4 linked regions of the Arabidopsis thaliana genome follow. Each later gene encodes a partner of the first gene's protein in a complex. Each region holds a gene or a part of one and is shown on either strand. Other genes may lie near its edges. The genes, in order: COP1, UVR8, HFR1 and STO. A codon is read from its position in the direction of its gene.

Region 1 (7,658 bases):
AAAATGTTTGGCCATGTGATTTAAACTTCACAAAGCATGCATGATTTTATATAGACATCATGCCATCCCTAGTTGCGTATCCAAATTTAAAAGGGTTACTCTTATAGTATTGATACGACCAATTTATGAAAATGTGTCACACAATCACTTTGTTATGAGTTAATTTAGAGGTGTTAAGTAATTGTATATAATTTCACTTATGACACAAATTCGTCAATTCTCATGAATTTTACATTATAAAATGATTTTTTTTTTTCAATGATCTTGCTACATGAACATACTAATGACTTATTGCATGGGTCGGACCTTTTGTATAAGCCAAGGTTTGACTTTTCATGACCGATTCACATCACCGCATTTTGATTCTAACATTTAATTATATAAAGTAGAAGCTAAGAAACCGTAAGACATATCTACATCACTGATACAAATTCTTCTTGAGGAGTGTTCCAAGGCAAGCATAATAATACAAAGTTGCTTTCCAAATGATGAACCCTACTTTTAATAAATTGTTCTCTCTCTATATGTAACTCCCACTAAAGAACATAGACGGCAAATTTGTTTTTATTGATTCACGAAGCTATAAGATCTTTTGTAATGTCTACTAGAATCACGCAGCGAGTACCAGAACTTTGATGGTTCCTTGACTATTCGCAGTCAACATCGTGGGACTATCACTCTTCCAGCAAACCGCACTAATAAAGTAGGAACCTGCCTCTTCCTCTGCATCGTCCATGTCTGGCGATCCAAATCTGTGCGATGTCACGGGTCTCGTGATTTCCTGCATCGCATCATTCACATTTTAAAATACTTGAGCAACGACAGGTTGAAAATCTGTGAATCATGAATGAAAAATGCTAAAGTTGAGAGCAGAGGTTTCGGATTTGTGAACCTTGTGATATACATATACTTCGTTTGTCTCGCTTCCACAGGCGAGATACTCGCTGTTCACTGTGAGACCCACAAAGTTCTTCTCGTTAGTATGTCCTCTGAATGTTCGAACCTGAAAAGTAAAATTGAACAACATAGTCAAGACAAGTTTTTCTTTTTGACTGAATCTGCAAGATTGGCTCGGGCAGTAATCTAACTGGCAAGTTGTCTTTGACATCCCATAAGCGTAGTGTGCTATCTGTGGACGCAGAAGCGAGCTCGTTGTTGGACAAAAATTTAACATAGGAAACTGCTTTCTTGTGTCCACTGAAGACATGAAGTGGTTGGCTTATGTTTCTTAGATCGTAATAATGGATGTGATGATCAGCTGATCCGACCTGTGATAAGTCAACAGGCTTAAACGTCTAAGTCTCTCTATCTAATTAAAGATTATATCTAGAGACGTGTGATAGTGTCATGCTGATCATGAGTGGTAGCGAATAAATGTGAGATGCAAAGTTGAGGCGTGGAAGTATATACCGCAATGTAGTTGCTTGAGCCAGGATTGTACTTGACACAACATATGTTTGCTTTCATATCAATATTAATCACACTTGCTTCCTGCCTCGTGCACCAAACTTTAACCTGGATCAAACACACAGCACAATTGGTTAATCTATGAGACATGATTTAACAGATGCAATAATGCATGGTTGAGGATTAACTAGTAGTGAATTGACTTAAAAGGAGCCCACTGGTATAATATGCTTTTGTCAGAATTAGAAATCCAGTGAATTTTTCAATAACGTTTAATTAAATTTGGACAAATGAAGCTACAAAATTTCAAGGTAAAATCTACTATATACAAGTGTCCAGTTTCGTTTGTTTCCTAATGTATAGCCACCACAGATACACTAAGGGGAAAATTTTGCTGAAAATTTAAGAAACCAACAAACATTCAATGTAGGAAGGGCTACATATGACCAATCCCCAAGTTGGGAAGAACAACTCAAAGAAAAGTTTAAGAAGTAGTAGAAAAGATTCATGAGAACACAATGTACTAATGAGCAAGTAGGAGATTCTCCAGTTTTGTTTCACAATATGTCTCTTTAGTTCGTCGTAGAAATTAGACAAATCCGTGACCAAGTTAGTTATAAGAGCTAGGAGATATCTAAAAGTAGTATTCTTTTTATATGAGACATAGCCCAATGTGAGATGAAAGGTGATAACGGAAAATATGGAGATATTTACCTTGCAGTCGTCACTACCAGATACAAGCATTGATGGTTCTGTTCGTGAAAAGTCAACACTCCAGGCACGTTTTTCGTGCTCTTCATACTCCATAAGACTCTGCCTCAGTTTACATAAAAATTCAAATACGCTGCAGAATTCATGAGATGAATATCTTATAGGTGCGATGTTAGATACTTTGGGTAAAGTACTCACCTGCCTAGTAGTTACATCCCACACTGTTACTATTCCTTCATAATCACTGCTTGCTATGTGATTTTTTTCATGCTTATTCCAACTCAAGCAACTAAGTTTAGACCGAGTTGACATCTCCACAATCGGACACTGCATATCTGCTGGTTCATTTACAACCTGAAAAGTAGCAGCCGATAATCAATCAGTTCAGCGTGGTCCATTGGATAAAACAGAAAATTAAAACCAAAAATTTGATTAGCTTTGATTTATATTCTTCTACGCAATACAAAAGTGTAAAATGGCTATCTTGCATCAAAGCTAGAATTTCCCAAGAGCATAACTTAGTTTCATTATCAACGAAGCTTTCTTAGAATTGAGATGCATGATCAGTTTCACAAAAGCATAAGGTTGGACAAGAAGATTCAATTGGTATGTAATTGAATGCACTCCAAGATTTATGAACGTACCGAAGAGAAGTCAAAAACCTTTATACATCTAGAAACACCAGCAGTGGCAAACAGCTCATCATCACGATCAAACTCTATGCTGAAAAGGAACAGCACCCTCTTCATCAGCAAAATCAGTAAGATGGTACATCAAATTACAGGTAAACTAGAGGTCCAGGCAAAGCATAAAGCATGTAAACTATGGAAGACCATAAACCAAAGCACATAGAGAGAAAAAGATATGAGCCCCGGAGCTCCCAGACCATAAACTAAAAATATATATCTTTCGTCTCTTCATTGAGAAGAGACACTTTCATATAAAAGATCGCAAACCGATTCTATATATTCCGACATGGATAAGGATAACATAGTGTTCCATCTTTTAGAAAATTCTCCTCAAGTGGCCTGCTGACTACACAACCTTCTCCCTACCATGTCAGCAGTTTTATCTTCATACTATTCACTGGCTTAGAATTACACAGCAACGAATCCCATAGTAATAATTGCGTCTATCAATACATTAAACAAAACTTAATCACTTAAGGGTCTATTTTGATATATTCGGAGACATTCTTTTGGTACCTATCATCTGTTATCTGATCAACGAACAAGGAATAGAAAATTCACCTTGATACAATGTTGGCTGAATGAAATATATCCCCATGCCGGATTTCTGCTATAACTCTTAGACGACTGTGAATAAAGAGTGCAATTAAAACCCCAACTAATTCGAAAACACTCTTTATGTACGGCTAGACCGATTGAAAAGGGATAGTCACTCCTCTACCTGTAGCGAGTGAAGGTAGTCAACACAGATTGAAAATCTGCAAGGCCGTTGCTATAGCCTTCCCTCCGTACTACACTCTTATCATTTTCTTGTTTACTATTTGGTTGGTCTGCCAACTGACGCCGCTTTTGGAGGTAACATTCTTGTAAATCATTGAACTACAAGACAAGACACTTTAACAGAATTAGGCAATCTGTGCATATATCAACAAGCAGTTACAGAGAGATTAAAGGACCATGCAGGTTTTTTCAAGAAAACTACTATAATTGTGATTGCATAGTATTCACAGAACTGTTAGTGTGTCTAGAGAACATAGTGACTTTTTGTTGCTATAGTACCAGAGAGACAAGAAGCGGCTACTATCACTAAGCAGTAGATATAAAGTCCAGAAAGCTATTTCTACTTTTACGTGCAAACAATACGAAATCAATCTCTCTGAAGTCCAATCGGCTTTTTATAAAGACCACCAAAAATGTGGGCCTTAATCTAAGGTATCTTTTCCGTAAGAAGATTCATCCTCTACCCACAACCACTTTCAATTTCTCGAGCTGTCAATCCAGATGACCAAGAGCTGAGTAGCTAGGCATGGTAGTAACTGTAACACAATCACTGGGGCCTAATTGTAGTAATTATTCTTATTCTTTAATAGACAAATATCTTAAACTTTAATGCCATTGTCCTTTTACCATTTCAGCATAAAGATGTTGAGTAGACAAGGAGGAACAAACCTGAGCATGAATCCGTTTCTTTCTAGCCATTGAGACAGTTGACTGATTCAAACTTTGCGAATCTGACCCACTCAGCGCATCCTTCTTTGGTAGCCCATGAGAGCTTCCTTGTGCCTTCCCCTCTACCTTTTTGTTTTGATAATTGCCTACAAAATTTCCTCCTCTTATGCTGAGAGAATTGGAGTTGAAACCAATCTGGTTCTTCTCATGTGGCCATGCATTTCTTGTGCTTGGATCATCTCCGAGCATCCGCAACTTTACAGAATATCTGTCCCTAGCTCGGTATAAATCTATTCTATGTCTCTCAACGGCATTTATATCTTCTTTAATATACTGGAGATCAGTTTGCACCTACATTAAGATAGAGAAGACATAAATGACAGAATTCTATAATATTCTGAGATCTCATCTAACATTCAGGGGTTATACGTCTCATGAATAGTTGGATAGATCATACATCTATTGATAGAAACATGGTTTATGGCTTTCTTTTACAACAACTATACAGTCTAAACCCAGTGAAGATTTTGAAGCAAATGGAATGAAGAGCAACGAGAATAATTATCAATAGGTAGCCCAATGCTACTCCATAATTCAGACAAACCAACCTCATTTAGTTCATCAACTTTTTGCTTCCTTAGACAATGCAAAAAGTCCAAAAGTATCTGCATGTTCCTCTCAGCTTCTTCCTGTTCCATTTTTCTCTTCCTTTCCGCAAGAAGTGTCAGAAGATTATCAACCTCCTTAATTGACACATCACAACCCTGTCTAAGTATGAACGCAGGAAGTCAATATTTGATCAAAAGAAATGACTTAGAATTGCTTTTTACTCCAATAATAATTCTGAGAAAGCAAACTTAAAGAGGAAAAAATGAAACATAAAAAGCTTGTTAAGAACCGACCCTTTGTAGTGCTTCCCGAAACTGATCCAAGGGCGATGCAGTTTTTGACACATGCCGAGCTGAAGTTTTCTTCAATAGCTACACAATTGATACATAAACGTCATATAATAAGCTGCATTCCAGTGATAAATAGTTTCAATACACTATCATTCCTATAAACATGCTTCTATTTAGCTGTAATAAGCAGAATCCTACCACAATACTACACATCAAAAACAAAACAAAACCTTCCTAAGAAAATCTAATGGCAAGGTTCATTGGAATCGATTAAAGACTAAGCTAGCTTACTTGTTTCCACAAAAACCACGACAAAAACCAAACTTGATTACAAGCTAAGACTCAAACAAGCAACACCCGAACTTGAACTGAAAAGCTAAGGACCAAACACAAATTACGAGTAAAATTAGAAAAAGAAACCTTATCGAGCAAGAAATTAGGGTAAAGCTGATTATTGGTGAGGTGTTGGCTACAACAGGGACAATCACTCTTGTTCCTAAGATGTGTGATGATACACATATAGCAGAAACTATGACCACAAGCCGTGAGGAAAGCATCTTTAATAATCTGCATACAAATCGGACAAAGCAAGTCTTTATCCAGATCCGGTGCTCCAATCTCAGAACCGCCGCTTCCTCCGTCGTCATTTTCATGACGATTAGCACCTTCACCAACTGAAGATGTTCTCGGGTCAGGTTTCACCGCTGGAACAACCGGATCCGTCGAAATCTCTTCCATTTTGCTTTCAAAAGATTTCTTCGATTGTGATTTTGGTTTTTGAGAAAATCGGAATTGTGAGAAAAGAGTGGTTTGGGTATGACGTCGGAGATGAAGGAGGAGTGAGGCTGAGGTGTGGTGGGATCCACCGTGGTTCTTTTCTGAGGTGACAAATCCTACACGTTCTGGTCTACGCGCTTCTTTTCGCGCGTGTGTCTGGCGTTTCTCCAAGCGCTGGTACGGTTTAATTATCCGGCTTCTAATTTATAGTCCGGTTCAATGAAATTTCTTACAATTACCACGACGGTCTAATTTAATTTCTTACAACCATTCATTTTATTTCTTACTATTTGAAATGAATAAGTTGGGAATTTCAATCCATTCAACCGGAGCATAACCCTAGAAATAGAATAAGTTTTGAAGGATTCGGTTTAATAATTTTGGAATAAACCATTTTTATTTCAGTTCTTAAATTTTGTTACTGTAAAAAATGACTGAAAAGTGAAATATATTTTAATTTTCCCATCACTGGAAACGTTCCCTCCATTCTTTTGCTTGTCTGGGAAACCCAAAGAGACTGTGACGGAGAAGAGAAATGAGCTAAATAAATTCCTCTCTTTGATTCACCGGAACCCTAGAAATCCTCTTCTTAATTCTTTCAAAGGTGCGCTGTTTTCACTAGATATCGCTGTTGTAATTGTTGTTGATTCGGAGCTAGGTTTTGTTTTTGTCTCTCTTTCGGAGAATTTGCATGAAGCTAGGATTTGTCTGTTGATAGTTGTATGGTTTTGGCTGCGTTGTTTCTCTCTTGAAAGTCTTGTTATGCTACTGTATGACACACTCGAATGAGTTTTTGTTTGTGTAATGTTTCTCAATTTTGAAGGCGACCAACAGTTAAAGGTGCCATTTTTTTTCCAGATTAAGTTTGTTCCTCATCTGAAATTTATACCATTTCTCGCGATTTAGCAGGATATGCCCAGAAATTAAAATCTTAGAACGACAATGGTGGTAAAGTTTTTAGCTTTTTACCTTTTGGAGTTGTCTTCTTAATTTGGTGTTTTTCTTTTCTTTCTTAGTCTCCTGAGCATTGTGTTTTGGACTGGTTTTTGCACACTGTAACCAACCTCCACTTTTCTCTCTTGCAGATTATTTTCCCCTGGAAGGATGGAGACATCTTCATCTCTGCCACTGTCACCCATAAGTATAGAACCAGAACAGCCCAGCCATCGAGATTATGACATCACAACTAGACGTGGGGTTGGAACCACAGGCAACCCAATAGAATTGTGCACCAATCACTTTAATGTTTCTGTGAGACAGCCGGATGTAGTATTTTACCAGTACACTGTAAGATTCATTAGTCACTTTTCTGCATTCTTTCATCAGTGTCTGTGCGTGTGTGAGATGTTTGACATATCGGTACCTTTTTTGCAGGTTAGTATCACCACAGAAAACGGTGATGCTGTTGATGGGACAGGAATAAGCAGAAAGCTTATGGACCAACTATTCAAGACTTACTCTTCTGATCTTGATGGTAAAAGGTTGGCATATGATGGAGAGAAGACTTTATATACTGTTGGTCCTCTACCACAGAACGAATTTGACTTTCTAGTCATCGTGGAAGGGTCATTTTCAAAACGGTATGTCCCTCTTATCTGGATTGATATTTAATCGTTTCAAGGTGTCAAGATAGATCTTGTTGATCTTCTAACTAACGCAGTCTTGTTAAGTTTATAGTGATTGTGGTGTCTCTGATGGTGGTAGTTCTTCCGGTACTTGCAAGCGA
Region 2 (7,375 bases), on another chromosome or scaffold:
GATTGCTCATTATTTGCAAACATAAAATGGAATCAAATGTAAAGAAAAGAGATGAAGAAAATCATTTGTAGAATTCACATTTAAGTTATGTATGGAAGATGAAGAAATAAGAACCATCTTAAATCTCATGTAGTTCTTAGTTTCTTGGTTCCTACACGTCTTATTTAAACCTAAATCTTGTAAGATTTTGCTCTGTTTTGTCAGGTTAGCCTAAATCTTGAGAGGTCAAACTTGCAGTAACTTTCATTGTATAGAATTGCTTTTAACTGAATGATAAATCGAGTAGTAGATTAGTCCAATGGAAGTTTGTGGATCAAGTTATGTGTCTGTCGGCATTATAGTTTTCCTTTGAAATATTGACACATTACTAGAATCTTATCCAACAAAAAATTGTGTGGTTATGAAAATCCTAAGTAACGAGACAGCTTATTAAATGCCGAATTTGGTAGCAATTTGTTCAGATGAATGTATGTCTTCTTGTAAAAGACAGTATGAAGTGGAGGTTGATGCTAACTATCTTATGGTTCCTTATTGCACTTTGAAGCATTTATTGCAATTGTTTTCGGTTTTTTCTCTTGAGTGGGCTAAACTAATAATGGTCTGTTCTTTCTCTAAAGAGAGAAGAATTCGACAGGAGCGTGAAGCATCTTCATTCGCAAATATAACACATTAAAGCTACCTCTAGCATCATCTGTGTGATTCTCTCCAAGGTCATTCGTTGTCTGTCACGGGGCATCTCAAGTAATAAAGCTTAAAGTTAACTGTCTTTTCAGCCAAATAGTTTCATCATCTAAATATTCACATGATCTTCCATATTTCATCACCGATTATGGTTACAACATTTTTGCAAACCCTAAAATTTGTGTTATCGCCAAACTTGACCCTTATACCGGAACCCATGTGGGTGGGTGTTGATTTTTACTGTTTTGTAATTTGTTCATCGACAATCATTGACATGTACTCACCGCAATGTTTTTTCTTTCCTAGTTTCATGTGCATATATGTCTCTAAACAGTAATTGTTTAGCACTTCATGTCAAGCTTAAATTATTATAGGTGTCTTATCTTGTCTCTCTAGTATTTTCTGTTGAAGTCATGTGCATTAAATTGTATATAGTACTTCCAATGGCTTTCATATAATTTCCATTTTTCCACAAATTGTTCGTAATGATGTTTATTTAACAAGATTATAAAAGATAATGCAACAAATTTGTGTGATGAATGATGAGATGAACCCATTTGAAAGAGGTCGCAACAAATGTCAACATTAGAGACCATCTTGATCTAGAGTTTTGTCTCGTTGACTTTAATGCCAAAATTGGACAATACATATAATGCATGTATCAGGCAATGCAAAAATATCTTCATTCATTTAATTTTCTTACTATAATAGATGTCACAACTTCCCTCACTGACAAGCATATAATGTTGGTTTTATCTCAATGTAAACAACCTTTTAGTTTCACATAAATGTTAGGTCGAGCGAGGTGATATATTCGTTCCAGATCGGATGAAACAAGTAATTCATCGATGTTACCTTTATCCATATGTATATGTAAGATTATGGGTTTTAGGTAATCTAGTAAGTACTACTAAGTAGTATCCGTATGTAATTTTTTATTTATTTTTATCCGTTATGTATAATTTCTTTGGCCGTTTTCGCAAAATCTATATTTGGATGTTTTAGATCGTGAATTGATATATCTTAATTTGAATATTTAGGTATTCATATATTTTGAATCTATAGTTGACCTGTTGACCATGTATTTTGATTTGAATATCTCGCTCGATCGATAGAAGATTTTTTTTTGTTTTTGTTTTGTTGATAGTAGAATCTTCAAGTTGTAATTTAACAAAAAAAAAAAAAATCAAGTTGTAAGTAGACCGTATATCTGTATATTTCCATATGTAGAACCATGCATTTTGAATAATTGAATAAAATAACATGTAGCAAGACGTATCTTCATATGATAATCAGAATCATAATAAAAAGACAAACTGTACACCATATTGTAATCCAGGTTTAATTTGACCTCTTTGAAAAACTAAAATAGCTGAACTGAATATTTATAACTAAAAAGACAAATTGGATATGTCACTTTGGACTATGAAACTCAGAATTTTTTTTGACTAACGTGTATACTTTCACACGTGTGCATGACTAAAAACATATGATTAGGCTCTTACGATCTATGCGCCTTACACCTGTGAATGATGAACACATAAAACACAAGTTACGATCTAGAATGTCATGTGTACTGGCTTAAATCTACTTATGTGAAGAGGTAAATGAAATGGTCAAGAAACAAAAAAAAAAAGAAATGGTGAAATTATGAAAGTATAAAACTTTACCGGTGAGGTCCGTATTTGGATTTATTAAGTGAAGAGGGACCCTTTTGCAATTAAAGCCTGTACGACAAAAAAGAGATTTACTGTACGGTTAAAACAAAAAATAAAAAAACCAGCAAAAGTAAAAAAGTCAAAAAGCAGATATATGACATGTGCAAATCTCCATCGCGCCTTTATTACCATCTACCGCTTTCTCTCTCTGTCTTTCCTTGTTCAACCCTCGAGAGATTACGGATAGTGAAAGAGAAGCTACAAAATTTCCCAATTTATCAAAAAATAGAAATTTCTTACTTTTTTCAAAATTCATTTCTCCCCAAAAAAAATATCTTGTGAAAACTGCAACTGTGATCCATGGCGGAGGATATGGCTGCCGACGAAGTTACGGCTCCTCCTCGTAAGGTTCTTATCATCTCCGCTGGTGCTAGCCACTCCGTCGCTCTTCTCTGTACGTCTCTCTTCTTCTTCGCTGTTTTTTTTCCTTTTCTATTACGGACTCAAATAATCACCGGAATTGTGAAATCCGCTGCTTTAGTAGGCTGTGCTCTTCGCGAATTCTCTTGATCTGGCCTTTAATCGAGTTTCCCTTACTTTCGTCGTCTACTAATGAGTAGTTTTATGTTTTGATTTTGTAGCTGGTGACATTGTTTGTTCTTGGGGTCGAGGAGAGGATGGACAGTTAGGTCATGGCGATGCAGAGGATCGACCTTCTCCGACTCAGCTTAGCGCTTTAGATGGCCACCAAATTGTTTCCGTTACCTGTGGTGCTGATCACACTGTTGCTTATTCACAATCAGGCATGGAAGTCTACAGTTGGGGATGGTTTGTTTCTCATCATTATCTTCTTCTTTGCTGCTGAATCAATTGCTCTTCAGTCTGTTTGATATATTCGGGATGAGATGATGACCACTAGTTCCTCTCTAGATTTTTGTGTAGAAAACAGTAACTAATTATACACTCATTTGCACATATTTTAAGCCTCGTGTTCTCTAACCTTTATGTGTACTTTGCAGGGGTGATTTTGGGAGATTAGGCCATGGTAACTCAAGCGACTTGTTTACTCCGCTACCAATCAAAGCATTGCACGGTATTCGGATCAAGCAGATTGCTTGTGGGGATAGTCATTGTTTGGCTGTCACTATGGAAGGAGAGGTCCAGAGGTATTTTCTCTTTGTTATTGTTCTTCTCCTTATGTGCAATCATTTACAGTTTACATCTCAGCTCAATTAGATGAATTTCATCGGAATTTGATAATGTCGATTGCGTCCTGTGTCATTTCTATATATCTTGGTTATTGTGTACATTGCCTTTTAAACGTTTTGTCTGTCTTGTCTTGTTTTCCAACATATCTCTTTGACTTCTGTTTATACAGTTGGGGCCGCAACCAGAATGGTCAACTTGGTCTGGGGGACACCGAAGATTCTCTAGTGCCTCAGAAGATTCAAGCCTTTGAGGTTTGTATCACTAAATATTCTTCTAACATCTTTTTTCGTTGTAGTTTCCTCAACTTGCCAAATACTATGCTTCAGAATTGGGTCAATGTTGGGTCTATTTCTGCAACTTGATCTTCTTAAACATATGACTGTTACTAGTTAAGGGTCCACATCTGGTGAAGATGTCTTCAGAATCATAATTTAAGTTACATAATTTTAGGAGTGGTAGATACTAAATTGGATGTCTATGTGTTATACTATCTGCAAAACACAGATAGAAGGTAGGATCTTATTGATAATTTATCGGACTAGGTAAACTAGAAGATTAAGTGATTAGAGACCCTGAGTTTATGTTGTTAGTTTCGCTGATCTCCATTGTTACATCAACACTTTAAACTTGTAATGGGTGCAGGGAATACGAATCAAAATGGTTGCTGCTGGTGCAGAACACACTGCTGCAGTTACAGAAGATGGTGACCTCTATGGATGGGGCTGGGGAAGATACGGAAATTTGGGATTAGGTGACCGGACTGACCGCTTAGTTCCTGAAAGAGTTACCTCTACTGGTGTAAGCTAGAAGACTCTTGTTCTATAATTTTTGTTTAAGCACCTGCTACTTGTTTAAACTTGCATTTGAAGTTCAGTATACGTGAAAGAAATCGTGAATAGCTCAATATGCACTGCACTATTCTGGATTAGCTGTCTATATTGATGGAGTCACACGTATATGCAGTCTAATTTCAGTTGGTGGGTGTCAGGGAAGTGACCATAAAACTTTTAGAATGATCAAAGTTTGGTATCCTGAATCTGCACAGTTCATGAAATGAAATTTAGTTCATATAACATTGATATCACGCAACCTCACCTTTTTACCAACTTCTATTTCTGCATTTTAGTCCCTCAATTTTTTCCTTAATTCTCTTTTCATTTCGACTCACTTGACTCTCGTTTTCCTGGTTGTAACTACAATTTTAGGGTGAGAAAATGTCAATGGTTGCTTGTGGATGGCGGCACACAATATCAGTTTCCTACTCTGGAGCATTGTATACTTATGGATGGAGCAAATATGGACAGCTAGGACATGGAGACTTGGAGGATCACCTTATTCCTCACAAACTGGAAGCACTGAGCAACAGTTTTATCTCCCAGGTTTCACTTAGGCCTTATAAATCTGTCTTGAAATACAAATTTGTACATCTGAAATATCCAACATATGGGATAGCAATAATATGTTTTTCGAAAACTTTCTGACAACTATTACCTACTGAAGAAGACTGGCTTCATTGTATGTACTTCTGTTGGTTTTCTTCTTCTGTTCGACATCTTTTGGACTTACTGTTCGTTTCTTTTCCAGATTTCGGGAGGTTGGAGACATACAATGGCATTGACTTCAGATGGAAAACTATATGGATGGGGTTGGAATAAGGTCTAGAATGTCTTGCTTTTTTTTTTTTTTTTTCTGGCCTATATTTCGTAGAAATGTATAGAACACCTATTTTCATCTACACATTCACTGATATTTGCATTTAGTTGCTTTATGCTGTTAAGGAGTGATATGCATTCACTTAGATGTTATTTTAAGAAAACAACAATGCATATATTGGGTAACTTTAGTAACTCATCTTGAATAAAACAAACTTCTAATTGTCTCTCTTTTAGCCTGCAGTTTGGACAAGTAGGAGTCGGCAATAATTTAGATCAGTGTTCTCCTGTGCAAGTGCGATTTCCCGATGATCAGGCATGTTATCCCTAAAAAAGTTTAACGAGAAAGCTCGTCCCAATGTTTTACCGGCTATATAATCATATTAATAAGTTCATGTCTCAATTCGCTGTTTTCTTTTCCAATGCACACATATTGTGGAATTTCACAGAAAGTAGTTCAAGTCTCATGTGGATGGAGACATACCTTGGCTGTCACTGAAAGAAATAACGTGTTTGCTTGGGGTAGAGGTACAAATGGACAGCTCGGCATTGGAGAGTCGGTTGACAGGTAAAAGTGTGATCATCTAATCGCTCATGAATCAATGTTTTCCACTTAACATATCTTGGTGTTACGAACAGAATATGAAAATTGGCCAGTAAGATCGTTGTTTCCACCAAAATCATTGCTTTTCAATCCCACTCACTACCTATCTTGATAATGTGAAATGGATATTTGGTTTGGTGTTTATAGGAACTTTCCCAAGATTATAGAGGCACTCAGCGTCGATGGAGCAAGTGGACAACATATAGAATCTTCTAATATCGATCCATCTTCAGGTATTTAAACAATACCACTAGTTAAAACGATTTCTGTAAACGACTCAACAAGTGATTAAATGATTCAACTTTTGCATTGCTTTGTTACCAGGGAAAAGCTGGGTGTCGCCTGCAGAGAGATATGCAGTTGTTCCTGATGAAACGGTAAGCCTTAATTTTGTTAATTCTACTAAACTTTATATCCAATACGTAAACTACAATGAAAGCAAATGGCACAATTATATCGGCTTAGAACCAGATTTTACTGATTAATCATTGCTGCACAATTATACCTTGCTCTGTCAAGATCGTGGATTGTTTTCAAGGATGAAATCTATGTGTGTGATTTTGAATTTGGTTGTGTGTTAGGGCCTAACGGATGGTTCAAGCAAAGGTAATGGAGGTGATATCAGTGTTCCACAAACTGATGTCAAGCGTGTACGAATTTGAGCCTGAGTCAATTCCGTTTTTTTTTTACTTCCGGTTCTTCCGTTGGATTCGAAGGTTTTTCAGTGATCTCTTTTGGGTTGAGGTTTGTACTAAGAGTACGTCTGTCTAGTTTGGGATTGTACTTTTTGTTGTTGTTGTTAGTTTGTAACTTGTGATGCTTCCCTCCCCCTAGCTCTCTTATTACATGGGCGTTGTAAACTGTGTGTACTACTACTACTAGTCTCTAGGGTATGTACTTTTTTTTTCCTCACCATAATAATACCTTCTGGTTCTATATCTTTCATTTCTTAAAAAGTTTTCTGTTTTTTCCTTCAACCATTATACAACTTATGTTTTAAGAGAATTTTCTTTTTGTCTTATTTTTTTACCGCCTATGTTTGAATTCAAATATGATATGATTGATAGTGACCCGCTGAGTTTTAGAGTATTTGAATTTTGGAAAAAAAAACAATTTTATCAATCAAGATCAAAACTTAAGAAGAACAGTGATCACAGATTAACAAGTTGAACTTCTCCTTTTTTATCAAAGTGTGAAGCGCAGATGAGAACGAGAGTAGTATGGGTATTTTAGTTTACAACTTTTGGGTAGGTTAGCCTTTAGGCCCAACACACAATGCATGTTTCGTATTTCTATATATTCTAGTCTCAATACGAAGAGTCTAGAATACGAAGAATTTCTAATGGACTAAGTGATGGATATGTCAAAAAGAAAAAAAATTGATCCTTCATCATCCGCCAACCTAGTTATGCTGCCTAATATATTTGGCGTTTAGTGAAAATTTTCTATTGGGTAAAACTTATGTGGGTGATTCTCTTTAAAGCAAAACCATCCATATTGCTCTTTTAGTGTTTCTCTTTATGTGTCGGGTTTCTTTCCCTTAAATTATTCCAAATCGATGTCACTTAGAT
Region 3 (4,726 bases), on another chromosome or scaffold:
AGAGACATTTGATATTTCCATGGCGATCGCTACGAAAAGAAGAAGTAGAGGCCTGTTCTCAGTTTTGTCTAACATGTTTCACTCCTCATTGATGGGCCCTTAATAAATTCATATTTGGGTTAATAACATTACATGGGCTAACCTAAAAGCCCAGTAAAGATAACGTTCTATTTGGCAAAAAAAGAAGAAGATAGATAGATCATAGATGCTGCATTTAATGTACAACAAAAATAAAAATCGTCAATCAACCACTAGATACACAAATAGTACTTCGTATAGTATATGATTCCAACCAAAACGGTGGGAACAAGAGAAAAATATTAAAATAAGAATCAATAATGCAAAGTTTTTCCATAATATCAAATAGATTGAACAGTGGGAAGTTGTAGATTGGAACGTATATTCCGAGAGGTCGTTGTCGTGAAGGAGATTGGAAACCTATGTAGTGGCTGTGGTTTTGCTTCGTCGCTCGCTAAGACACCAACAAAATATAAAGTACCCAAGTGTCAGACATAGCACCATGTCCATCACGAGGGCATCACGTGAACACGCCTTTTCTTCTTCCTCTCTCTCTCTCTTTTTCGATTTTTTTCAGGCCCATTTGATTCAACGCTACAAAGTTAACATTCATTAGTCAATTGAATAATAATAATTAGTATTTTTGTTCTACTAATTCGAAATTAGAATTTGATACTGTTTTTTTTTTTTTTTGATTGTTGATATTTAGTAACCAGGTCATTTTTGTTTATTCAGAATATGTTGTAATTATTGGAGTTTTTTTTAATTAAGGAAAATAGTGTGGACCTTTTTTATCAAAGATAGTAATAATGTGGACCATCGCACCTGCTCGGTGTATGGTTGATGATGACGTGACTCTAAAATTCCAATAAATGTGTCGTGGGGTTACAGAAAACAAAAAAAACTGATTCGTTATAGGATTGGTTTAGAGCCCACAACCCACGTGGGATTTTGGATAAAACCCTAAATGAATTCTTTTTTCAGGAATCCATAAATGGTCATGAAATGAAATGCATTCTCAGGCTGGAAATAATCGACCATTATATTATTGCACAAAAAAGTGAACTCTAGTATCATAACTCTGAAATTATTATGATTGCTGGTTACTGAATTTTGTAAGCCTTTCATAATAACGAATTTACCAATTGGGAGATCGAATAATCTTATCGTTGTTACAGACGATATTTTTTTGTCGATTATATTATGAAACTTGTGGTAGTCAACCTTTTTTTTTCCAAACGGAGACGTCATCTTTTTGTTTTTATATTTAGAGATGATCTGACCAAAAATAAACAAATAGACATCCGATATTTTACATTGTTTTATATATATATAAAGATAAAGCTTAATGACGAGTATTCAATGATAAACGATAAGATTACGGGAAAAATAATTAAACGGATAAAAATGGCCCTACCCGTTGTGCATTACAGTTCTTGGTTAAGAAATACTATTAAACTGTCTCTCAAATCTCAATATATAAATGAATACATTCTATACGTACAAAGATAAATTTATCTCTATGTTCATGTGTCAAAGTGGTAGTGAATCTAGTGACGTTATTGATTAATCAAGATTACTTTTATCTTTCTGTGCAAAATTTCAAGATTACTCTAAAGTCGATATATGCTACTATGACGTAGTTTTGGGACAATTACGTATAGAATCATAAAAACAATAAGCAGAATAATAATCCATTTAAGTACATTGTGAATTTGTGATAATGGAATTATTTGACAATACTTTTCCAAAATAAAAACTAATTTAATTACTGTATTAATTATTTTAGTAAAACAATATTTTCATTACAATGTTTGTTGTGAATCCAAAAAAGTATTGTTTCCAAAGAACTCAAATGACATCAATATGTCTATAATAACCTCGTGTAGCTGTATGTTAGAATCTAGCCGAATTGTTTTATTGTTGTCGGTGTACGCAACAAACGAACCACACATACTTTGAAACGTGGCACAATATAAGTGGGTCACCAATGTAGCTGACAACTATACCATCTATCTGATCCGATCGCTCTTATAACATAAGCGTATGGGATACCATTTTCTCGGACAAAGCTGAAATCCCTAAAGAAAAAACACTTCTCCAAACTTTTCATCTCCGATATCTCTTTAACTAACATGTAAGTATAATTAAACAGGAGGTTTCAGAGTTTAGGTTTCTTGCCTTGTTATTCTCTTTATTTATTTCTTTAATAATTTATCAATGATTTGTATCGTAAACCCTAATAGTTTACTACTTTTTTCTTGGCAGGTCGAATAATCAAGCTTTCATGGAATTGGGATGGAGAAACGACGTCGGATCACTTGCTGTGAAAGATCAGGGCATGATGTCAGAAAGAGCAAGAAGTGATGAAGATCGTCTAATCAACGGTCTAAAATGGGGCTACGGCTACTTTGATCATGATCAAACTGATAATTATCTTCAGATTGTTCCAGAGATTCATAAAGAAGTAGAAAATGCGAAGGAGGATTTATTGGTTGTTGTCCCTGATGAACATTCTGAAACTGATGATCATCATCATATTAAAGATTTTTCAGAGAGATCAGATCATCGATTTTATCTGAGAAACAAACATGAGAACCCCAAAAAACGTCGTATCCAGGTCTTAAGTAGTGATGTAAGTCGATACATAGATATATTTTCATGTTACCTTATGTATTATCATTTTTCACTGTTTTTAATTTTTTCTTTCTATAAATAAAATTAATTAATTTAGGATGAATCGGAGGAGTTTACAAGAGAAGTTCCTTCAGTTACTCGAAAAGGTTCCAAGAGAAGAAGAAGAGACGAGAAGATGAGTAATAAGATGCGTAAGCTACAGCAACTCGTACCTAATTGTCACAAGGTTGGTGTGTATATAGATCCTTCTATATAATGTTTCAATTTAACTATTGAGTGTCTAGTCTTTTCCGTATAAGTTTCCGCTACTTCCGTTGCATATATGAAGAAATCTTGCCTTAAGTTTCCAATTCTGATAACGGGTGGTGCTTTTTTACGGTTTTCAGACGGACAAGGTTTCGGTTCTCGACAAGACCATAGAGTATATGAAAAACCTTCAACTTCAACTTCAGGTCTATATTTAACTTTATTCACTATTTTTATTTCACACTTTATTCAGTGTTCTTCTTCCATATATTTGAATTATTGAGGCTTGAGGTTTTAAGTGTTTATCTAATAGTCTGAGTTTTTTTTTGGTTAATTTAACTAGTTGACATAAACTGTTCTTGGTATTCGATCTGACTCGCCAACTTATGAGATATGGATTATTGTTTTACAATATGGGTTTCAAATTGATCAAACAAATATAGCCACTTTTTGGTGTTTAGTGACGAAAAAAATGGAATGATATATAGTAGGCAGTAGATAACCTAGATGGTGAAGTCTATAGAATTTCTTTAATATTTCGAATTCATCTCTTTTCATGTGATTATTTAGTGCCAACTAAATGTTTTATATTTTATAGAACTATGTACCCATTTTGATCATTCGAATATGTATATGTGCTATTTATATTCAGAAACTAAGTTGTAATCAAAGTTGATGTTATAATTGCAGATGATGTCAACAGTGGGGGTGAATCCTTATTTTCTTCCGGCGACATTAGGATTTGGAATGCACAACCACATGCTGACGGCAATGGCTTCGGCTCACGGCCTAAATCCGGCGAATCACATGATGCCATCGCCGCTAATTCCGGCGTTAAATTGGCCATTACCACCGTTTACTAATATTTCATTCCCACATTCATCTAGTCAATCTCTATTTCTTACAACATCATCACCAGCTTCTTCTCCTCAGTCTCTTCACGGTTTGGTTCCTTATTTCCCAAGTTTCTTGGATTTTTCTTCCCATGCGATGAGAAGACTATGATAAGTAAGTAGCTCGATAAAAGTTTATGTGAAATGATCGTTGACTAATTAAGAGAGAAAAGAGTTCCAAATTAGGACAGTTTGTGTGAACCATTTGTGTCATATACTTTTTTTTCCGGGTGGTTTTGTATATTAATAATAATCAATAAGTTAAAACTTTTTGTATAAATTCTTGCATGTAACAATTTTTTCATTTATCTGATATTTTGTAAAATATATTGAGACATGCTTATAAGAGCATTGAACGTAGGAACAAGATTTCCCTGATTCTTAAGCGTCTCAAACGTTTACACTTGGTTACATGCATCCCAACTAGCTTTATCTTCAGCATCTCAAATTCAGGACCAGTGGGTCATACACTATGATAATGTTAATGTACAAAAAGTAACATTAACTTACCTCTGCACACTGCATGTTACTTAGAAGTTAGGATGTGGCTCTGCCAAATATAGGGCCGGATGTATGAGAAAAGATCAAAAGAAGAAATGAGGAAACTTGACTTCGAGAATTATTAATCACTTTCTTACACATCAATTATTGATTTGCGTTTTGTGTTTACACATCGCTTTTCCACAGTTGATATATTCATTTTTTTGTGGAAAATTCAAAATGTTTTCTGTTTTAAAGTTGTGACTTGTGAGTAATAATCTCTTTTCTTTTGTTTTCTGAGCTAGGTAAATACACACACAAGAAATATTACGTCCGAAACTCGAGACACAATTCATATTTATATATAAAAAAAGAAAAATTCTACACGCACAGACACAGGCGCACACTTATATACGTATTATTTTACAAATACATATCCTTTTGTCTCAATA
Region 4 (4,014 bases), on another chromosome or scaffold:
TGGATACTACTGGAGCTGGTGATTCTTTTGTTGGCGCGCTTCTAAACCAGATTGTTGATGATCAATCTGTACTCGAGGTTAACTCCCATTGATATTGTGTGTCTATTCAATCAACTGAATATTGTTGATGATATTTACTGATTTTTCTCGTTTCTTAGGAGGAAGAGAGATTGAGAAAAGTGCTGAGATTTGCAAACGCTTGTGGAGCAATCACGACGACTAAAAAGGGAGCCATTCCAGCTCTTCCTACAGATTGTGAAGCTCTCAGTTTTCTTAAGATACAAGTAGAATAGTAAAACTTCTCTTCGAGTCCAGAATTCTCCTTGTCTATTGTAATAATCTGTTCTGGATTCTTCCTGATGATTCTGATCATTTGTAATGTTTTTTTTTTTTGGTTCTCTCTCTGTCTTTTCTTTTTCTTCTTCATTGTATTGAATAAAACAGACTTGTGACTTCTGAGCTTTTCTTGCTAATAGAAAACAAAGAGTTTTTCGTAGTTGTTTGGAACCGTAAATTGCATTGAGGATTGTTTCTCAAGGCTTTGAAAACAGAGTAATAATCAGGAACAAACAAAAAAAAACCAAGAAAGAACAGAGAGAACACATTTAGTATCAAGTTTGTAGCATCAAAGCATTAAGCATAGACCATGTTCAAGAGGTATGAACAAAACTCAAACACAGACATTTGTTATAAGCTCTCAACATATCTTACACAACTTAAGACAAAACTAAAATGTATATGACATTAACTCCACACATGCAGATAGGTTTCTTGTTTGTTCTTTTACATTGAAGAATGTCTACACATAGATTACATATAGCTTTTTAGCCAAGATCAGGGACAATGAAGTGTTCCTCATCATCATCATCATATCTGGTCTCAAACCTCGGCTTCTTGTGTGAAACATTTGACTTCATAGGTTTGTATGAATGAACATGACCTAAATGCGAAACAGAAAGCTCAGGAACTTCAGCTGCAGGAAGAGCCTTGTCATTAATCTGATCACCGAAGAATCCCATGTCTGAAAACCAATCCAACTCCCCTGCCCCAAGATCAAGCTGTCCTTTCTGCTCAATTTAAACCAAGAAGTCAATAAAAGCTTCTTGCAAAGAAAGTGATCTAACATTGAATCTCAATTCTCATCACTACCTTGTCGGTGGATTCAATATCAGAGAAGTGAAAGAAATCGTCAACAGCCCAGGGAAGTGGAGTAGCAGAAGAAGGTTGTTGTTGCTGCTGGCTTGTGGATTTAGCAGGAATCTGATTAGCCTTCTGTTGGTTGTTGGAAGGCTCAGGTTGATTCTTCTCAATTTCTTTACTACATATAGTTGAGGTCAGAGCTACTTTGATCCCAGTGGCTAAGAACCTCTGGTGATTAGCAGATCGAGAATTAGCCACGTGGATGGATTCATCGCAGTCCCTGCAAAGCAGAGCTCTATCCTCTACACAGAAAATGAAAGCTGCCTTCTCCTACAAGTCATAAGAACATAATGAGCAAACCCTAGTCTTAAACAACAAGGCATACATACAACAGTTGCTACAAGATCTATAAAATCACAACTTTGCAACAGAGCAGATTCAAACTAACGAATCCATAAAATATTTGACAAGATCTAATGAGATCTGTAGAGAAACTTACTTGGCAGATATCGCAACGAGGGAATTTGGTGGAGAGGGAATTAAGATGAAGACGTTGGTGCTTGCTAGCGAGTTTGTTAGCGGCGTGAATCTCGATGTCGCATTGAGGACAGAGAGCAGCTTCGTCGGCGCAACAAATCACCGTCGCCGGAGCTTTCTCACACACATCACACTGTATCTTCATCACCGGATACAAGAAACCAAAATATCTAGGTTTCTCAAGAAGGAAACAGAATGCTTAAAATGAAGGGTTTATTGCTAGTCTGGCTTCTCTTAGAATAGCTTAGCAGAAGCGTAGGTTCAGAGAAAGAGCTTAGAGAAGATGAAAGAACAAAGAGGGAGAGAGTGTTTTGTGGGGAACAAGTAGGTGGGATGAGCAATTGGTTGTGAGTGAAAGAGAGAAGATAAGGATTTGATGAATCTTGCTTGTTGCTTTGTTTTCATTATTCTGCGTATCAAAAGGAAACACTCTGCTTCTTACAGCAAGGTCTTGCGGGTCCCACTCTTTTTCTGTGGCTCTCCTTCTTCCTCTCGTCATCTCTCCTACCTTTAGATATTTTTATTATATTCACACTTTGCTATTTTATATTCTTGTTATTTTCTCACGTAGTAGAGATTTGTGTTTTGTTTACTAATCTAGTCAAAACACATTAATTTTGACTAATAAACTAACTTCAATAATTCCACCACCACTAGACTTTTACGCTCCTTTTATATGATATGCTCGAATTTCAAGTCTCGTGAACTTTTACGATTTCAAGAAAGATTTGTATACAAAAATGGGCTTCATCTAGAAAGAAAGAGTTGGGTAATGGTATTACTCAAATCAGAGAATATTACACGACTACACGTAATCTTGAAAATGACATGTGAATTGATTCCTTGGAATGACGACATGTTATGTTAATATGTACCATTCGATCAGATTTTTCTTCTTCTTTCACTTTTTCGTTTTCTCAATCATAAAAACGATTAATGCAATCATTAAAAATATACTGGCATGTTAACTAACAAAGAAATGAATGCTTAGCCCGTTCGAGAAAAAGAATGATCCTAAAAGACACCAATACAAAATTAGGCATGGTTGGTCACAAGAATTGTTGTTGGATATCACATATCCATCCATATTAGTAAAAACCAATCTATACATCTGTGGTTTTTTTAAAGAATTGACAAGTTTTTGTTTCTGTTTTTTGGTAATGAAATCGAACAAATTCAAAGAATTGTGAAGTTAATAACTCCCAAAACACTTACTGCTTCTGTACATGTTCATCCTTCTGGATGTCCCCATGAGAAGTATTGTTCATGTTGGCCGTATCTTGATTAAGCAGATTAGAGAATCCATTTCCAATCGATTTCCACCAGCTCGACCGCTCTGAGGTAGTTTGATCCCACTGGTCATTACTGGTGCTTGAGGACAGTTCGATAGATGTGGCTGACTCGGTCTGCAGCTCAGAGAATCTCACAGCTCCTAGTAGCTTTTCTGGAAGCTCTGCTTCGGTCTGACTCTCAATGAGGAACGCAAGATCAACTGTCAATGTAGTAACGTAGCCAAATGCGAGATGAACAATGGCACTAGCGACCATTGAAGAACCAATATCGACATCAATCTCCACAAAGTTTTCCCCTGAAACATATTTGCAAGAGAGTGCACGTCCAATCACACAGATCGCTTGCTCTCCAACAGCTTTTCTAACAATCCAAGGGCCTTTGACAATGTTTGCAATCAGTTTAAGCCTCGATTTCTTGAACCCATCATCTCCTTTCAAAAACCGATCCATCAGGGAGCCTTCAAGGATAGGCTCTGTGGTAACAAAGTAAGCCACAGCACTGTAATTGTCTTTGTGAGGAAGCTGGAGATTGAATGCCCAGACAAAAGGCTTAGTTCCATCTTTTTGAAACTCCTCATCGATAACTTTCCTGATTCGGCTGCTTGGATAACTCAGGATCTCAGAAAGCTTTTTAGGACCTTTAATCCAATCAAAACCCAGAGGCTTTAGAAGGAAATCACCAGCAGGTATCTTAACTTTGTCAGAGAAATACTTTGGTCCTCTAACCATAAATGTGTCAGGAGATGGCGTCGTCCAACCATTTTTGCAGTTGTCGTCTGGCTTAAGACATGGAACAGCTCCCTCTAATTTCACTCTCTTAATCCATTCTGGCTCAGTTTCCTCACCAACAGAGCCAGCCATATCTTGCGAAAACCTGCAACACAGAGCTTAAATCCTTGAGTAAAACTGAGTGTGGAAAACAATCTCATGGATTCTACTTAGTGAATATAGCAAACAAGAATATGCCATCAAGAAGACCAAAACATGTGATCAGAAAACAGAACCATGTATGTCTGAGGCTCTATCTATTCCTCATCTAATTTCC

What was found.
Region 2: the proteins of COP1 (region 1) and UVR8 are in contact, whole or in part, in a cryo-EM structure (PDB 7VGG), measured with the Arabidopsis thaliana proteins. Residues at the interface, in NP_180854.1 of Arabidopsis thaliana: Ile373 (codon at 3,379), Ser375 (codon at 3,373), Gly390 (codon at 2,801), Val391 (codon at 2,798), Ser392 (codon at 2,795), Arg393 (codon at 2,792), Cys394 (codon at 2,789), Lys396 (codon at 2,783), Glu416 (codon at 2,433), Ser418 (codon at 2,427), Arg420 (codon at 2,421), Ser421 (codon at 2,418), Lys422 (codon at 2,415), Leu423 (codon at 2,412), Tyr441 (codon at 2,358), Glu442 (codon at 2,355), Ile444 (codon at 2,349), Thr452 (codon at 2,325), Arg453 (codon at 2,322), Gln454 (codon at 2,319), Ser455 (codon at 2,220), Glu458 (codon at 2,211), Glu460 (codon at 2,205), Glu463 (codon at 2,196), Arg465 (codon at 2,190), Trp467 (codon at 2,184), Asp484 (codon at 2,133), Glu496 (codon at 1,491), Asn507 (codon at 1,458), Cys509 (codon at 1,452); in NP_201191.1 of Arabidopsis thaliana: Arg41 (codon at 3,007), Asp44 (codon at 3,016), Asp77 (codon at 3,115), Trp94 (codon at 3,166), Phe97 (codon at 3,366), Asp129 (codon at 3,462), Arg146 (codon at 3,725), Gln148 (codon at 3,731), Asn149 (codon at 3,734), Ala181 (codon at 4,221), Glu182 (codon at 4,224), Trp198 (codon at 4,272), Arg200 (codon at 4,278), Tyr201 (codon at 4,281), Trp233 (codon at 4,784), Arg234 (codon at 4,787), Lys252 (codon at 4,841), Tyr253 (codon at 4,844), Trp285 (codon at 5,145), Arg286 (codon at 5,148), Trp302 (codon at 5,196), Lys304 (codon at 5,202), Trp337 (codon at 5,674), Arg338 (codon at 5,677), Tyr407 (codon at 6,158), Ala408 (codon at 6,161), Val409 (codon at 6,164), Val410 (codon at 6,167), Pro411 (codon at 6,170), Asp412 (codon at 6,173).
Region 3: the proteins of COP1 (region 1) and HFR1 are in contact, whole or in part, in a crystal structure (PDB 6QTV), measured with the Arabidopsis thaliana proteins. Residues at the interface, in NP_180854.1 of Arabidopsis thaliana: Ile373 (codon at 3,379), Ser375 (codon at 3,373), Val391 (codon at 2,798), Lys422 (codon at 2,415), Leu423 (codon at 2,412), Ser424 (codon at 2,409), Tyr441 (codon at 2,358), Arg465 (codon at 2,190), Trp467 (codon at 2,184), Asp484 (codon at 2,133), Ala506 (codon at 1,461), Asn507 (codon at 1,458), Cys509 (codon at 1,452), Ala526 (codon at 1,259), Asp527 (codon at 1,256), Lys550 (codon at 1,187), Ala551 (codon at 1,184), Ser553 (codon at 1,178), Thr568 (codon at 1,133), Lys593 (codon at 973), Asn594 (codon at 970), Phe595 (codon at 967), Phe646 (codon at 703); in NP_563650.1 of Arabidopsis thaliana: Tyr57 (codon at 2,453), Leu58 (codon at 2,456), Gln59 (codon at 2,459), Ile60 (codon at 2,462), Val61 (codon at 2,465), Pro62 (codon at 2,468), Glu63 (codon at 2,471), Ile64 (codon at 2,474).
Region 4: the proteins of COP1 (region 1) and STO are in contact, whole or in part, in a crystal structure (PDB 6QTU), measured with the Arabidopsis thaliana proteins. Residues at the interface, in NP_180854.1 of Arabidopsis thaliana: Ile373 (codon at 3,379), Ser375 (codon at 3,373), Val391 (codon at 2,798), Leu423 (codon at 2,412), Ser424 (codon at 2,409), Tyr441 (codon at 2,358), Arg465 (codon at 2,190), Trp467 (codon at 2,184), Asp484 (codon at 2,133), Asn507 (codon at 1,458), Cys509 (codon at 1,452), Ala526 (codon at 1,259), His528 (codon at 1,253), Lys550 (codon at 1,187), Ala551 (codon at 1,184), Ser553 (codon at 1,178), Thr568 (codon at 1,133), Lys593 (codon at 973), Asn594 (codon at 970), Phe595 (codon at 967), Phe646 (codon at 703); in NP_172094.1 of Arabidopsis thaliana: His241 (codon at 851), Phe242 (codon at 848), Ile243 (codon at 845), Val244 (codon at 842), Pro245 (codon at 839), Asp246 (codon at 836), Leu247 (codon at 833).

Annotation. Positions count from the first base shown.
Region 1 is NC_003071.7:13,976,235-13,983,892, reverse strand, and holds COP1 (Transducin/WD40 repeat-like superfamily protein), read right to left. Parts: upstream 6,013-7,658; 5' UTR 5,894-6,012; coding exon 5,576-5,893; intron 5,237-5,575; coding exon 5,159-5,236; intron 5,025-5,158; coding exon of another isoform or gene 5,021-5,024; coding exon 4,865-5,020; intron 4,608-4,864; coding exon 4,257-4,607; intron 3,687-4,256; coding exon 3,529-3,686; intron 3,435-3,528; coding exon 3,369-3,434; intron 2,842-3,368; coding exon 2,763-2,841; intron 2,473-2,762; coding exon 2,317-2,472; intron 2,221-2,316; coding exon 2,122-2,220; intron 1,516-2,121; coding exon 1,411-1,515; intron 1,269-1,410; coding exon 1,089-1,268; intron 1,004-1,088; coding exon 893-1,003; intron 782-892; coding exon 611-781; 3' UTR 284-610; downstream 1-283. Other genes in the region: AGO6 (Argonaute family protein), read left to right, coding at 7,037-7,219, 7,307-7,512, 7,610-7,658. UniProt on the Arabidopsis thaliana protein: E3 ubiquitin-protein ligase that acts as a repressor of photomorphogenesis and as an activator of etiolation in darkness.
Region 2 is NC_003076.8:25,553,912-25,561,286, reverse strand, and holds UVR8 (Regulator of chromosome condensation (RCC1) family protein), read left to right. Parts: upstream 1-1,787; 5' UTR 1,788-1,871; intron 1,872-2,302; 5' UTR 2,303-2,699; coding exon 2,700-2,793; intron 2,794-2,980; coding exon 2,981-3,167; intron 3,168-3,358; coding exon 3,359-3,505; intron 3,506-3,717; coding exon 3,718-3,799; intron 3,800-4,190; coding exon 4,191-4,346; intron 4,347-4,753; coding exon 4,754-4,927; intron 4,928-5,132; coding exon 5,133-5,204; intron 5,205-5,444; coding exon 5,445-5,516; intron 5,517-5,649; coding exon 5,650-5,768; intron 5,769-5,951; coding exon 5,952-6,037; intron 6,038-6,128; coding exon 6,129-6,181; intron 6,182-6,385; coding exon 6,386-6,466; 3' UTR 6,467-6,871; downstream 6,872-7,375. UniProt on the Arabidopsis thaliana protein: UV-B specific signaling component that acts as a UV-B photoreceptor and plays a key role in establishing UV-protective responses in plants.
Region 3 is NC_003070.9:465,113-469,838, reverse strand, and holds HFR1 (basic helix-loop-helix (bHLH) DNA-binding superfamily protein), read left to right. Parts: upstream 1-1,958; 5' UTR 1,959-2,153; coding exon 2,154-2,155; exon of another isoform or gene 2,156-2,286; coding exon 2,287-2,653; intron 2,654-2,752; coding exon 2,753-2,881; intron 2,882-3,041; coding exon 3,042-3,107; intron 3,108-3,591; coding exon 3,592-3,906; 3' UTR 3,907-4,223; downstream 4,224-4,726. Other genes in the region: AT1G02350 (protoporphyrinogen oxidase-like protein), read right to left, coding at 1-21. UniProt on the Arabidopsis thaliana protein: Atypical bHLH transcription factor that regulates photomorphogenesis through modulation of phytochrome (e.g. PHYA) and cryptochrome signalings. Suppresses the transcriptional regulation activity of PIF4 by forming non-DNA-binding heterodimer.
Region 4 is NC_003070.9:1,827,838-1,831,851, forward strand, and holds STO (B-box zinc finger family protein), read right to left. Parts: upstream 2,147-4,014; 5' UTR 2,029-2,146; coding exon of another isoform or gene 1,929-2,028; 5' UTR 1,852-1,928; coding exon of another isoform or gene 1,823-1,851; coding exon 1,640-1,822; intron 1,471-1,639; coding exon 1,150-1,470; coding exon of another isoform or gene 1,120-1,149; exon of another isoform or gene 1,068-1,119; coding exon 825-1,067; 3' UTR 503-824; downstream 1-502. Other genes in the region: AT1G06030 (pfkB-like carbohydrate kinase family protein), read left to right, coding at 1-77, 159-293; AT1G06045 (uncharacterized protein), read left to right, coding at 1,685-1,851, 1,929-2,028; AT1G06050 (ENHANCED DISEASE RESISTANCE-like protein (DUF1336)), read right to left, coding at 2,889-3,830. UniProt on the Arabidopsis thaliana protein: Acts as a negative regulator of seedling photomorphogenesis and light-regulated inhibition of hypocotyl elongation. BBX24/STO and BBX25/STH function as transcriptional corepressors of HY5 activity, leading to the down-regulation of BBX22 expression.